2 linked regions of the Lonchura striata genome follow. The protein of the gene in region 1 interacts with the protein of each later gene in a pairwise test. Links are inferred from orthologs where the notes say so. Each region holds a gene or a part of one and is shown on either strand. Other genes may lie near its edges.

The links. The genes of interacting proteins can lie anywhere in the genome.
Region 2: the proteins of TOP1 (region 1) and BTBD1 interact in a two-hybrid assay, tested with the Homo sapiens proteins (2 studies listed by BioGRID). The link is inferred for Lonchura striata from reciprocal best matches to the Homo sapiens genes TOP1 and BTBD1.

The regions. Positions count from the first base shown.
Region 1 is NC_134619.1:9,817,505-9,824,435, reverse strand, and holds the start of TOP1 (DNA topoisomerase 1), read left to right. Parts: upstream 1-3,914; 5' UTR 3,915-4,046; coding exon 4,047-4,079; intron 4,080-4,575; coding exon 4,576-4,600; intron 4,601-6,931. UniProt on the Homo sapiens protein: Releases the supercoiling and torsional tension of DNA introduced during the DNA replication and transcription by transiently cleaving and rejoining one strand of the DNA duplex.
Region 2 is NC_134613.1:14,957,534-14,965,026, forward strand, and holds the start of BTBD1 (BTB/POZ domain-containing protein 1), read right to left. Parts: upstream 3,100-7,493; coding exon 2,702-3,099; intron 1-2,701.

The sequences.
Region 1 (6,931 bases):
ATAATTTAGTTTCAATGCATCCGACAGTACATAATAAGTATGAGTGTTTTGAGCAGGTCATGCTAATGAAAAATGAGTGGGGAGTCGTGTATCTGACTGTTCTTATTTTGTACCAGTGTCACTTGGTTTTAGAGACAGCAGGTTTAGAGGATGACGCCAGTTGGGAATCCTGCACATCAGGCAGGTCTCTGGCTGTGAAAAAAATGTACAGTAGTGATAGAAATATCCAAACCATAGCTCTTACAAATGAGCTGAGACTAAAGACATCACTACAGGCCTTTAAAAATTAGATTTTGGGGTTTAAATGTGTAAATTTTGTAAATGCATTTTGGTTCTTTGTTACCTCTTCACAAACAACATGCGTTTGTTTCATATTCAGATGGAGGGCTTTTGTTGCTTTTTTTTTTTTTCTCCTAAAACATAAACACTAGAAACTGGCCTCTGCCTCTGACAAAAGTAGAGATTTTTACAAAATTATATAAAGGAAAACTAAACAAGTGAACTTGGATCTGTGGAACTGCTAATAAAATTGAATGAGTTGGCAGTGTTGTGCTCTTAAGGCCTGAACTTCTGATATTGTAATCAGAAATACCAAGATATGAGCGTATTTAATTACCAGTTTTGTTTCACTTTCAAACTTGAAGTGTAGCATATAATCAAGTTAAATATAAAGGAGAATCAACTGAAGGAACACAATGAAGATGGCTTCACCTGAGGCTAGGAGCAAGGCTTGGAAAGAGGGCTGTGGAGGGTTTAGGGGTTTGGCTGTCGAGGTTTCTTGCCTTGTGTTGGTCTGTGCAGAAGAGTGTGGACTCAGGCTGGAGCACGGTGTAGGATCCCATCCTGATACAGGACTGCAAAGCTGGCCAGGAAAACAGCACCCACCTCCCTCTCCCAAAATATGCACCCTGAGCACAGTGTGAGGCCCAGTGCACCAGATAAATCAAATCTCACCGTTCACCAGGAAAAAGAACTGAAGGCTTTTCTACTGGATTTGTATCCCGGGTGATTTATTATTTAATTTAAACACATAGTTTCCAGCTGTTTCTTTTTGCAGGCAATCACCTAGGCTACATTAACCCGATGGTGATGTACTGGTCCCAGGGAACCCTGGAGAGAGATCACAGCACTCCGAGGTGTGAACTTCCCCCATTTATCTTGATGGGGTGTGCACAGCCTCGCCAGGGAAGCGGGTCCAAACACGTTAACCCCTTCATTGCCAGCCTCCACCGTGGAAAGGGCTGCTTAGACTCGGAATCTCCCGAGCTGGAAGGGACGCACAAGGATCACTGAGTCCATCTCCCACTTAGGACAACTCCAAGAATTCCCCTGGGCTTAAGAGCGTTGTCCAAATGCTTCTCTGGCAGGTTTGGGGCCACGATCACTTTCACAGGGTTGTAGAGTGGTGTGTCCTATACGAGCCTTCCTCTCGTGGGAGAGCCTCCCGTGTCCCAAGGGATGCCAGCGTGGAAGGGAGTGAGGGAAGTTCAGCCTCCTGGACGGTGGTACTGCAGGTTATAGGCCTGGAGATCATAAGGTTTTTTTTATCATATAGCTCGTTGCAACAGATGGGGCCACACAGGTGTTATGGTTTAATGTGCTTTGAACAAGCTGTGTATTTCCCTGCCTCTTGGCTTCTGACAGCAGAGCAGGGACTCCCTGCAGGCTCCAGGATAACCCTGTGGAAGACTGGGGACAAAAAGGATCGCACGGAGTGGCTGCGTTTGGGAGGCGCCTCTGGGAACACCCAGCCTCCTCCAGCAGGTCGCACAGGTTTGTGTTCAGGTGGGTTTCGAATAGCTGCAGAGAAGGAGGCTCCGTGCAGCAGATGGGAAGCGACTCCTGGGAGACAGCTCGAAGCTGCTGCCTCGGCTGCAGGTTCCCTCCGTGGAGTGAGAGGTGTTTGACGTTCGAGCACAAGGTTTTGCTCGTCACTAATGGCTCTGGCACTGCTACCGCGGCAGTCAGGACCTGAGATACCAAACTGGGAAGCTCCCTGCTCCTTCCGAGCTCTCCCACGCGGCTGTCAGCAGGCTCCTGCCGGCAGCACAGCGCTAAACCTCTCGTGTGCCGGTTTCGGGGGCTCTGCTTTGCGACCAGACGTGCTTGCAAACGCCTGCGAAGGTGGCAGCTGCGGGAAGGGGCCGGGCTGCCTTCCCCTGCACAGGGCTGGCTGCAGCTGCAGCGTGCCGGGGATGGTGGAGGGTCCCTTTCTTGTGGCAGGCACAGCCACCTGAGCAAGGGCTTCTTGGGGAGACAAAGATGTGAGGTTTGAAAGTGAAATTGCTGCTTCAAAGGAAGAGCTTTTAGGAATTTCTAATGTTGGAAGCAGGAGGTGCCAGCCCGCTCCCAGGCTGTCTCAAAAGGCACAGCCCTGCAGCCCTGGATGGCAGCAAGGAGGGGCTCAAACCCAGGGCAAAGCCTGCTTTCACCTCATTCTTGTGAACCAGGGGCACACACCTCTTCCTGATGTCTGAAACAGCTCTTTCATTATGTTTATATTTAAAAATCTAACAGTGACTAAAGCAGTTTGCATAATAAACAGCTCCAGAAATATTTGCCTGCACTCGGTAAAAAAAGGAAGTCCTTAGATCCTCTTCTGAAGACGGTAAGAAAGTGACAGAGTTTTCCCTTTGCAGGATATAAATATGCAGTGCAAATAGGTGGCTGCTGTCACTGCTTACATTTTGATGTATCTCTTCAGATAGCCTGGCAGCGCCAGGTTATTTTAGTGTCAAATCAAAGCTCTGGTTGTGTAAAGAAGCTGAGGAAAGGTACAGTCTGTGTTGCAGCAGAGGATGGAAGCTCCAAGAAGACTGGAGGCAGTCCTGTGAGACACGTACCAGCCATGCATACTAAACCTGCCATTTAGTACACCGACAAGAAAACCCGTTTATAAGCGCTGCTGCGGAACAGAAATAAATGTCTTCAGGTTTGGGCTGAGGAAGGAGGGGTGTTTTTCTAAGCAGGCACGTGCTTCACTATCACATTACCTAAAAGAAAATAAAGCTTTGGCCCCCTTTTACCTTCCTTTTTTTTTTTTTTTTTTTCAGGAGAAAAAATTTAAGACTCTGCTATGCCAGAAGAAAAACCTTGCGGGCTGATCCCTTTTTAATGCTCTTGTATGCAATGCACCAGTGCTGTCCTTGACTAAAAGGAGTCAAGTGAGCCCAAACCTGCCTGATGTGCTTCCCCCCCAGCATCTCCCCGTGGTTCCTGCGGCCTCCGCACTCCAGCCTGGCGCGGTGGCGGGCAGAGACCGGCAGCGAGGGTCAGCCGCACAGATAACACAGCCTGATAACGAGGGGTCTGCGGGACAGGTGCGCGCACCCGCCCGCCTCCCCTCACTAGGACATGCTCTGACTGCTCATGAGCTGGTGCCTGCGGGGGTCTGGCGCGGCGGGACTCCGGGAGAAGCCCCGAGGGCCGCACAGCCGCGGGGGCTGTCACGGAGGGGTTACCGCGGGCAGCAGCGGCAGCGCCGCCCCTCAGAGCGGCCCGCCCGCCATGCGGCCCTGGGGGCGGGGCCTGCGCGGGGGCGGGGCTTGTATGCAAATAACCGGCGGGGCGGAGAGGTAGCGCATGCGCGCTGTGCGCACGGAGCGGCACGAGTTCTTACACAATGCACCGGGCCGGGCGGCCGCGGGGAGGGGGCGGGGCTTAACATGTAAATGAGCGCCCGGTTTTGCCGCGCCATTGGAGGAGGGAGAGGAAAGGGCGGGACCGGATATGTAAAGCAGCGAGCCGGCGTAGCGCATGGTGGAGGGGCAGCGGGTCGGAGCGGTCACGCCGGCGGGGCGTGGCCTGCATGCAAATCATGCCGTCTCTGGGGGCGTGGCTCGCATGCAAATCAGCGCGCGGCCGCTTCCCGCCCCCTGCCCGCCAGGCCGCTCCCCGCCGGTTTAAAAGGCGCCGCGCATGCGCAGAGCGCCGAAAGCGGGACTTAGTCTGTTACACAACCGCGCTGCGCTCCCCGCGTCCCGCTCCGCCCGGCGCTCCTCTGCCCGCCGCTCCTCCCGCTCCGCCCGGCCGCCCGCGCCTCCGGCATGAGCGGGGACCAGCTGCACAACGATTCCCAGGTGAGCGCCCCGTGGCCGCCCGCGGGGCGCGCTCCCGGGGGACCCCCGCCGCGGTGCTCGCATCTCCCCGTGCCGGCCCTGGGCTGGCCGCCTCGCCACCCCCCGTAACCCCAGCGGGGGGACCGTGCCCTGCGGCCGCCCCCATAAGTCTGGGCAGAGCCCTGTCAGCCCAGCTGTCCCCCCGCGGTGGGATGGGGGGCGGCGGGAGCGGGGACCCGCGTGTGACCCCCGGGCTGGGCTGAGAAGGGGAGGGGGCGGCTGCCACGCTTCCCCGGCTCGCTGCCCTTTGGGGGGTCGGGAGGGGTCCGCTCATGAGCTGCGCGGGGGCCGGGGAGGCGCTTCACCGGTTCCCCCATCACCTTCCGCATCGCGCCGGGCTTTTCTCCTTTCGTATTTAATTCCCCTAAAAATGAGGGTGAGGGCGGGGGCGGGGGTCCCCCGGAGCGCCGCGGAGCCGGGCGTGCTGACGGTGTGTCCCTGTGTGCTCTCCCCGCAGATCGAGGCGGATTTCCGAGCGAACGGTGAGTGCGGCCCCGGCGCGCCCCTCGCACAGACATGGCGTCCCAGAGACTAAGTCCCGGCTCCGCGCTCACCGGCCCCATTGTTCCCATCGAGCTGCCAAAAGCGCCCCTTTCCCGCCGGGATCGGCCGCCCCCGACCCCCGCCGCCCCGAGTGGGGGCACCGCAGGGCCCCGATCCGAGCGCAGCGGCTCTGCCGGGGTCGCCTTTGGGCCCCGATTCCTCCCTGGAAAGTCGCCTTGTCGACGGTCGGGACTTAGTCTCTGCGCCATTTTCTTTTTCTCTCTCTCTCTCTCTGTGGCTTTTCTCTCCTTCTCCTCCTCCCCGAGCTGCCGCCGAGCCGCCTCTGCAGAGGCACCGGGCCGCCATCCCCGCCACCAGCCCCTTGTAACCGAGGGGAAAGCAAAGTTTTTAGTTTAAAAAAACCAAAAATTAAAAATCCCAAGTCGCCTTTTTTTTTTTTTTTTTTTTTTTTTAATCGCAGGCTCCCTCCCCCCACTGCTCCCCGTCTCTGTTCCTTTGAGGGAATCCCTTCCTTCCCCTAAAATGAAAGGTGATTGCAACATGTTGCTCTTTAAAAGAAGCTGCTGCATCCATTTTAAGATCAGTCTTATGTTTTTTTCTTGGCTATTTAAGTGATGTGACTTTACCTTGTTAGATGGGTTTTTTAAAATTAAAATAAAGACCTACTTTAAAGAACCTAACAGACCATAGTGTAGACAATTCCAGAAAGGTAGACAGCATCACTTCAGGGACTTTGCAAGCTAACTTCATTTTGTTCAGAAACATTTACAAGCGTCCTGTAGTCTAATATATATATATATTTATATTTATATATATATGTGCTTACATATAATTTTTTGTATATGTATATATTTATATATTAATATATATAAATATATGTCTATATGTATATTTATGTTCATATATGTATATATACATACAATATTGTATTTTCTAATCAGCCTGATGACTGCTAATTTTTTCTGATAATTTATTCATTTTTATAGGAAGCAAGCTGATTGCAAGCCTGCCTCACTTGATAGTTGTCAAATTGAAGGGCTTAAGTAGGGTGAAGGGGAGTTGAGGGTATACAACCAACCTTTGTGTGTGTGCGTGTTTTACTGTCACTATTTGGGATATGTGAGGAGCTCTGAGCTGTCCCCTGACTGCTGAGATGGTAGAGGACAAAAATGTTGGTTGAAAATATCTGCTTGACTTATAGTTACACTAATTTTTAGAATGCTTTTCTGGATGATGTCCACGTGCCTGGTTGCCTTGTAGGCTACTGCATGTAAATATTTACAGATCTACGCTTGCGAGCACCTTTTCTTCTGTCAGTTCATTGGAATGTGATTGTGTGTGTGCAGCAGGGAGCAGACAGTGTCAAATATGCATGTTTTGAACTCTCTATTTCCATTCTGAATTTATAGCTGGGCTCTATGAATAATTCTTATCAGGAAAAAAGGGGTGCAGTGGATTTCCCAAGATGTACGGGTGTAACTCTTGAAGCAATTTAAATATAAGCATATATAGGAATGCTTGTAGCCTTCTTGTGCTGGAAAATACTTGCTTCATCTAAAGATCATCTTGATTTAGGGAAAAATACTCCTTGGTAAGCTTTAGTTATTTAGTTCTGTTGTACATAGAGGAAACGATGTATATTTCACCTTTTGACTCCATCTTCCAGTGAACCCTTCAGAGGGATTTTTCTCCTCTATTGTGACCATGTGCTGTTTTATTCTTCTAAGAGTTTTAGTCATAGAGCTCTTGAAACTCCTGTGGTTTTTATTTCTACCATGTGTTGAAGGAATTCAATACAGAAATTCAAAGTAAGACACCTTGATGAAAAAACGGAATTCCTGGTAAATCAAGTGCACCCAACAAATCCATACCAGTGTAGGCATCAGCACCCTTTCCCTCCTATTGTAATTATTTGTGGCAGTCATGTAACATCATTGTCATTAATCAGAGGCCCCAAAACCCTTTTCAGCACTGGAAGGTACGTGTAACCCTGTTAGTCTTGCTGTGGGAATAATGCTGAATAGACACTGGACTCTTTGACCTTGTGACCACCCCAGATCTCCCTGAAAATCTGTCACCTCTGCTTGCTCTGAGCCTTGTTTCCTCTGCACAGGAGCTCTTTGCACTGGTGCATCAGGAATCGTCACGCACGGATGTGAGAACAGAGGTTCTCCTTCAGGCAGAGACCTGAGGCTCTTGCTCTTATTTTCTTATTTTCATCTTATTTAATGGCAAAGATTAGGAGTGGGTAGTAGGAATCCCAAATGTGCTGGTTCCCCCCACCCCCCCCCCCAAGATATTTAGAATTG
Region 2 (7,493 bases), on another chromosome or scaffold:
AGAACAATTTTTCCAATTGACCAGTCAATCATTCACTCAGTATAAGCCTCTCATACATTTTATGCTATTTTTCTTTACTCTCAGGTTAGCACTTCCTTCTCCCCTTGTGGGAGCATCCTCTCAATAGCTGGAATGTTTCACCATTATAAAAGCACACAGGAACCTTTTTTCAAGTTAGCCATGATTAGCCCTTTATTTACTGCTTGCCAAAATTCTCTGAAAAGATTTTTGGAAGACAGACTCTTAACTTGTGCCATATCATCACTTTCATTTATTCTGTGATCAAAGGACAAGTTAGCTTATTGTAAAATATGAATGAAAATTTAAAAAAAAAAAATCTTAGTAAAACCAGCAAAAAGAAACTGTAAAGCAGAAACCTACTGAGACAACATGAATTTTCTTGATCATTGCTATTCAATTTGTAGTTAAAAACACACACACAAAAGTTGTTTCATTGGGAAACAGATTTTTGTGACTTTGTGACTTTGATATTATTTCAGGTCTTAAGGATTTATCTGTCAAACTATTTTTGCATTAAAAAGTCTTTTCCTTTAATTTACAAGTAGTATTTGCCAGTAGATCCTTATGAAACAAATAAACTACGACATGACTCAACAAACCACATGAGTAAATAAAATGGCAATGAGCTAAGGAACATTAAATAATTAGTAAATTATGCTTAGAAAGTTTTTCATTACTCAAACATTTCCTTTACTTGATGTTCATTTGCTATGTGTATTCAAACATCCTGACTGAACTTCTAGGCAATATACCTCACATTGGTGTTTTCAAGCATTAAGGAAATGTCCTGTGAAAGGTAACTATCATTATCTGAGTGATTTACTAATGATAGATAAAAGAGGCCAATGGTGCAAGGTATCATTCCTGTCTCTTTCAGTCAACACCAGGAAAAGACCCCATGTTGTTTCCATCATGGAAAAAGCCCAGTACTGGCATGTATTAGAGAAGGTCTCCCTAGAGATGTTTTTAACAAGGTACTGCAATGCATATTTATTTCAATATAAGCTCAAAGAAATACACATAGCATGGAAGAATGTCCTGAAGAGCCGGCAGAGACAGCAAACCTGAGCTGTTTCAGCAGTCACCAGTATGCTGATATTCAGACAAGGCACAAGCACAGTCAGTGCACTGACGCAAGTCCCCTGGCCATTACACACTGGCAGCCCTACAACACAGGATGCTTTTGTTTGCTTTTAACAACATCTCTTCATTCATTCCTCAGTGCTCAAACACCATCCTTCTTATCTTTACTTAGAAATCTCTGCTTCTGTGTTTCCATTTTTATCCAGACAAACTTGTATTATTACACCCACTTTTCCCTGCCCAGCGTTTTTCGCGCATATACAGACACAAACGTACAGATGTGCACTGTCATTTACTTTCAACCTTCAGAGCCAATTTGCTTAAAAGACACTTCCCACTACCTCTTGCTCCTCTGCACAAAACATCCACAAAAAACAGTTCATTTGCTAACAGCAACAGCAAGACATTGCTGCTCATGGGGGTTTTGTGCACATCACTTACTTTACCTCCTTTGCCTGTGATTACCTAAGGACCAGGTGACTTCTAATTGTTCCTGTCTCTTGGGCCTCAGGAAAAGGAGAAAGTTGCCAAGACTTTGAAGTTTTTCCTATTACAAAGAACTTTGAGACACTACATATTTATTTCCAGGCAATAATATCACTTGTTTCCCAAATGTTCATTAGAGAGAACTGTTTTATATATTTTATAGTTTATATTTTTTGCCTAGCAGAGTGGTTTCTTTGATAAAAACCTTAAGTTTATGCAGGTTAGTTGTATTACCACACCACAGCCCAAGGTACAAATAAACTATTAGCAATTACTTCTATGAATACCATAAATTTTACTTGCCACTACACTGAGTACAGAGAAATAAATGATAGGTAAAATCATCAGTTTTGTGAGCACGCAAAATAGCAGATCCTACTCTGCCCAAATTAGAAATCACTAACACACTTTATATCCTTCCTTTATATCCTTTATATCATTGCGCTCCCAGTCTCACACTCAGACGGCCTGGAAGTGAAAATCAGCTGGTTACTGCCTTCTGCTGCATGTTCCTCCTCTGCCCAAGTACGATTACAATGGGTGTTATTATGGCAAAGAGATGCAACAACTTATTGTCATCGCTGAGAAAGAAAAGTGAACAGGAAGATGACTAAGACTTCAAAGTATCAAATGTCGTGGTAAGTATCAAATGAAACGAAAAGCTTAGTACAAACAGCCTCTGCCCCTTCTTAGTCACTATCAGAAAATGCCTGGATAGTTGCATCATCAAGGGGACCCAGGAATTCCCATCATTTCACTTTAACAAACCAAAACCCTTGAATCCAAGAGCCCAACCACACACCCACCGAGCGCTTCCCTAAAGGGACAGTCAGCTGCCAGGGAATTAGAGCACTTCTCTTGGGAATAGAGTGCAGGGTAAAGAGCGAGAGGGACCAAACCACGTTGGAAGCGCGCTGTGACCTTGCGCGCAGCCCCCAAGGCACTCCCGCGCCTTCCCTGCAGCTCCCTCCAGGGACGGGCAGTAGGGACAGGCCGGGCTCTGTGGGGACAGGACCGGGAGGGGCCGCGGAGCGAGGCCAAGGCAGCGGCGGCCAAGCGGCGCCGCGGCGCGGAGCCCCCTCCGAGCGCGGCCGCCCCCGCCCGCGCTGACCTGAGGAGCGCCAGGAAGGCGGCGGGCTCCACGTCGGGCAGCTCGATCTCGGCCGAGGTGGTGGCCATGCCGCCGTTGAACATCGCGTCGAACACGGCGCTGCCGGCCGCCAGCACGAACCGGTGGGCGGGGATGCGCTGCTGCCCGGGCCCGGGGGGCGCCGCCCCGCCGCCGCCGCCGCCGCGGGCGCTGCCCTTGCCCACCACGAAGTGCACGTCGCTGAGGAGCTCGTTGGAGAAGAGGAAGGCGAAGCGCTCCCGCAGCGAGCCCTTGGTGGCCTGCCAGTTGTACAGCGGCTCCCGCTGCAACACCGCGCCGGCCTCGGCGGCGGCGACGCCCGCGGCGGTGGCGGGCGGCGTCTCCGCGGGCGCCCCCGGGCCGCCCCCCGCCGCCGCCATCGCCCTCGGGGCCGCGCCGGGCCGGGCCGCGCCGGGCGCTCCTCAGCCCCGCCCCGGCGTCAGCGCGGGCCCGCCCCGCGCCGCGCACGCGCCGCTGCCCGCGCAGGCCCCGCCGCAGCCGCCGCCCGGCCCGGCCTGGGAGGTGCCCGGGATGTGCCCCGGGATGTACCCCCGGGACCTGCCCCGGGATGTGCCCCGGGATGTACCCCCGGGATGTGCCCCGGGACGTGCCCCGGGATGTACTCCGGGACCTGCCCCGGGACGTGCCCCGGGATGTACCCCCGGGATGTGCCCCGGGACGTGCCCCGGGATGTACCCCCGGGATGTGCCCCCGGGATGTGCCCCCGGGACGTACCCCCGGGATGTGCCCCGGGACGTGCCCCGGGATGTATCCCCGGGACGTGCCCCGGGACCTGCCCCGGGATGTACTCCGGGACGTGCCCCGGGATGTGCCCCCGGGACGTACCCCCGGGACGTACCCCGGGATGTGCCCCGGGATGTGCCCTGGGACGTGCCCCGGGATGTACCCCCGGGATGTGCCCCGGGATGTGCCCCGGGATGTACCCCCGGGACGTGCCCCGGGATGTGCCCCGGGACGTGCCCCGGGATATATCCCCGGGATGTGCCCCGGGACGTGCCCCGGGATGTACCCCCGGGATGTGCCCCGGGATGTGCCCCCGGGATGTCCCCCGGGACGTGCCCCGGGATGTGCCCCCGGGATGTGCCCCCGGGACGTACCCCGGGATGTCCCCCGGGATGTGCCCCGGGCCGCTCGCCAGGCCCGTCAAGCCGTCCGGGAGCGCCCGGGAATGCGCAGGGACTGCGCTTGCAGAGCCGCGGAGGACGCGGGCACACGGGCAGGGCGCAGAGCGCCGCGGCAGGCGCGGGGCTGGTAGCGCTGCCCGTGGGAGGGAATAAATGGCAGCGATTGTGCTTAGGCACGTGAAATGCAAATTCATTTTCATAATGCCCGTTTCACCGTGGTAACAGGGGGAGCAAGGGCTGGTGACCTATTTTAAATATGTCTGAAGTGAAGCTGACACATCGGCGGCTTTTAAGGCACATACACCTTACATTCCTTCTGCACGCTGTGTGTGTCTCGACATTTGGCGTTTTAGCTTGGAGAGAGAAGTCAAAGGGGAGAGGCGGCTTGTGCCCAGCGGCACTCGCACAGCTCAGCAGGGTGCAGGCGGGTGGATTAACCTGTGCGCTGTCGTGCTCCTTTTAGCAGAGAAAGGGGAAAGCAATGAGAGGTGTTTGCGCTTTCCCAGTCCTGTCAAACCGCTGCAGGGCCGAGGCGATTCCTTTTGCCATCTGCTGGGGTTGTGCTGTAAGCACAGCGGCGATTTCCACGGCGGCGCTGGGAGCTGTTTGTCACCGCTCCCGACTTGTCAGCATTTATGGAAGCGTGTGGCTAAAAGAGGAATAGAACATGTCACCGCTCTGCATTCAGGTTTATAATTAGGACAAAACTGCGACCGAGCAAATGTGGTCCGTTTCGCAGAACAAGCTTTTGGGAACCTTTAGCAAGAAGGAAGCAATTTCAAATGCAGGGTAAACTATAGTGGGAAAGGGCACCAGAAGATATAGTCTACCAACCAGAAAGCAGCTAGCTTTGCACAGAAGCTATATTTAAAAATAAAATCCTACTGCTGACTTAGAAGAATGAAGGTATCATCTCTGCACTTTTATTCTCCCAAGGTGGACAAAGAAGGGAAGGAAGGAGAGCCCCACATTCCCTTCATAGCTTAGGGACAGAGAAGTGGAACACTGACACCTTGGACACAAATGGATAATTTTCATTTAAATGAACAATTTTCATTTAAATGGGACTTTTTTTTTTTTTTTTCCAGGGGTGGGATGGTCTGGGAATGAATAAACATTTCTGTCAGTGCTGTCTTTTTGCTTTTATCATTCTGTGCTCACTCACAGGTTAATCTGTCAGCTGAGAGCCAACAACCATGACTGCTCTGCTTAGAGAGAACCTTGTTTGCAAAAAGTGTCAGTAACACTCTACAGGAAGTTAACAGGGATGGAAGATGGCTGAGGAAAAAGGGAAAGGTGCAGCAGAGAAGTAAAAGGAGGTCAGCTGGGGCAAACAAAGTGTGTAAGACAGCTTCAAGGATGAGAAATCAGTCATAAGAAGGCAAGCTATGCAACATAGAAAAAGAATAGAAAGACCTGCATGATGGTCTGAGAAATAAAATAAGGGGAAAGAAACAGGAATAAAATAAAAAACCAAACCAACAACATAGGAAAGGAGACAAAGGCAAGGGACAAAGAAAAGGAGAAATGTCACCAGAATGTCCATCTGACCTGTCCAGCTAAATGCCAAATGCACTAATTGAAACAGTTTTGAAAGTGAGAACTAAGAAAATATTAAGTAGCATATTTCCTTTTAACACTGAGCTTTTCTTCATGTAGACAATGAGCCTCAGACATTTGTTTCACCTTGTAATCTTTGTGCTAGCTTTCTTGAAAAAAAAAAAATCAGCCAGCTTTTCTTTGGCATTCTCAGTGGGTGGATCACAGCCATTTTTAAATGTGATGTCATGGGATTGTATTTACCAGTCCAGATCAGAAATAATATACAATACTTTTTCCAGAAGGTCTACACATGAATGTCACTAAAATGCAATCCCATTATTTGTTTTCTCAGTGTTTTCAGGTTTTGCCTAGGAAATATAGCAGAAATCAGTATAGGATATAAAAATATTTACATAAGTAGTTCAAGAAGACATTGTTTTGTTTGATCTCACGTATCAAAATGGTTACAAATCAAGGGCTGCAAACAAAAGTTCAACAGTATTATATTATGTAGCTGTGAAGGTTGTCCTGATCTCTAGCCAGCAAAACAGAATGTCAGGGAGTGTCTACACTTTTGAGCAGCTAATTTTCAAGATCTACATAATAGCCTGAGCAAGCCCATGCTGACCTGGTGCCTTTTTTCTGTGGAAATTCATGAAGGTACTACTCTCCAAGTTTTGAGGTTCCTTCACCTGTCAGCAGGGAGAGAGAGGACAAAGTGTGTTTACATGGGCTGAGGAGGAAGCAGAGAATGCTGTGATCACGCTGCAGGGATGGCTGAGATACCTGTGATGCCAGGGGTGTCCCAGAGACACAGGAGTGGCCCTGGCCTCCCCTGCCCCTGAAACGGGGCCAGTTCTCAGAGAGCCATCTAAAAGGTTTAGGTTACTAAGAGTATTGTTTTCAACCATTTGTTCCCGAAATGATTTAAATTCTCCTCCCTTCTTTTCCCCACATGAACTCAGCTTTGTGTATGCTCTAAGGAGCTGTTTGTTGTTTTGATCAGAGTTTTTGAGCCGGCTCACATTTTCACAGTGATTAGCAATTGTTCTCAAAAGCAGTGAGCATCCTTTCTGTGCTTCAGGAGGGAAGGGGATAATTCAGACTAAATCACAGATTTGTTTCTGATTAAGCTTCCTGGCTGGAAGCTTATGTCAAAAAATATGATTGTCATCTGATGACATATTTTTCTTTCCATACTCAATTAGACTCTTAAAATCCCCTCCCTCTGATCCATGCCACTGCTGTGAATGACAGACATGCATATTACTGTTCCCACCACTTGAATTACCAATAGCCTTACAGTTGCTCAAATGTGTAATTTTTGATAACTACAGTTAATAACAACCACAAAAACAACATTTTATCATTGGGCTTTTTCTTGTGGTTGTTATGGTTATCTTCTTTCTGGCTTGCATCCCTGTACTGTTGGGATATGGGGTCTGCAGATAACAGATCCAGCTTTTGGAGCACAGGATCCACTCAGGCACAGAAGACTCAGACCTGAGTAATGCTAAGGGCGGGGATTAAGTTTTATTCTTATGTCTTGTAAAGTGCCTATTTAATGTTGAATTTAAAAAGCAGTAATAAGAGAAACTGGTATTTTTTTTTCCCTCTGGTATTAATTCATCTGTATTCAAAAACTGTCAATAAGAATGCCACATTCTCAGAATTTAAAAAATCATAATAATTCTTTGCACTACCATTTCTACAAGTAATTCTTGTATCTGAGGATTTTATTTTGCATTTTCAGCTGTGCTGCCTAGGAGCATTAGCTGTCCGGGAGTATTAAGGTAATTATGTATCTTGTGCCCTCTATTATAGTGATACTTTTCTCATTTTTAGTGGCAGTACTAATGATTTGTACTTTAATTTCTATTAAATTTCTATAGTAACTATTACTTACAGTACACTGTTACTGTAAACATTCCTGCTAATTAAATAATTTCTGTGAATTTTTTTCAGAATTGTGGCTTAGAGATGTGTACATATCATGAAAATGTGACAGAGAAGTTTTTGAGGACTCCAGTTGTGGAAGTAACTCTTTCATTTCTCATTCAGCACATTTATGCATTTCATAAACATAC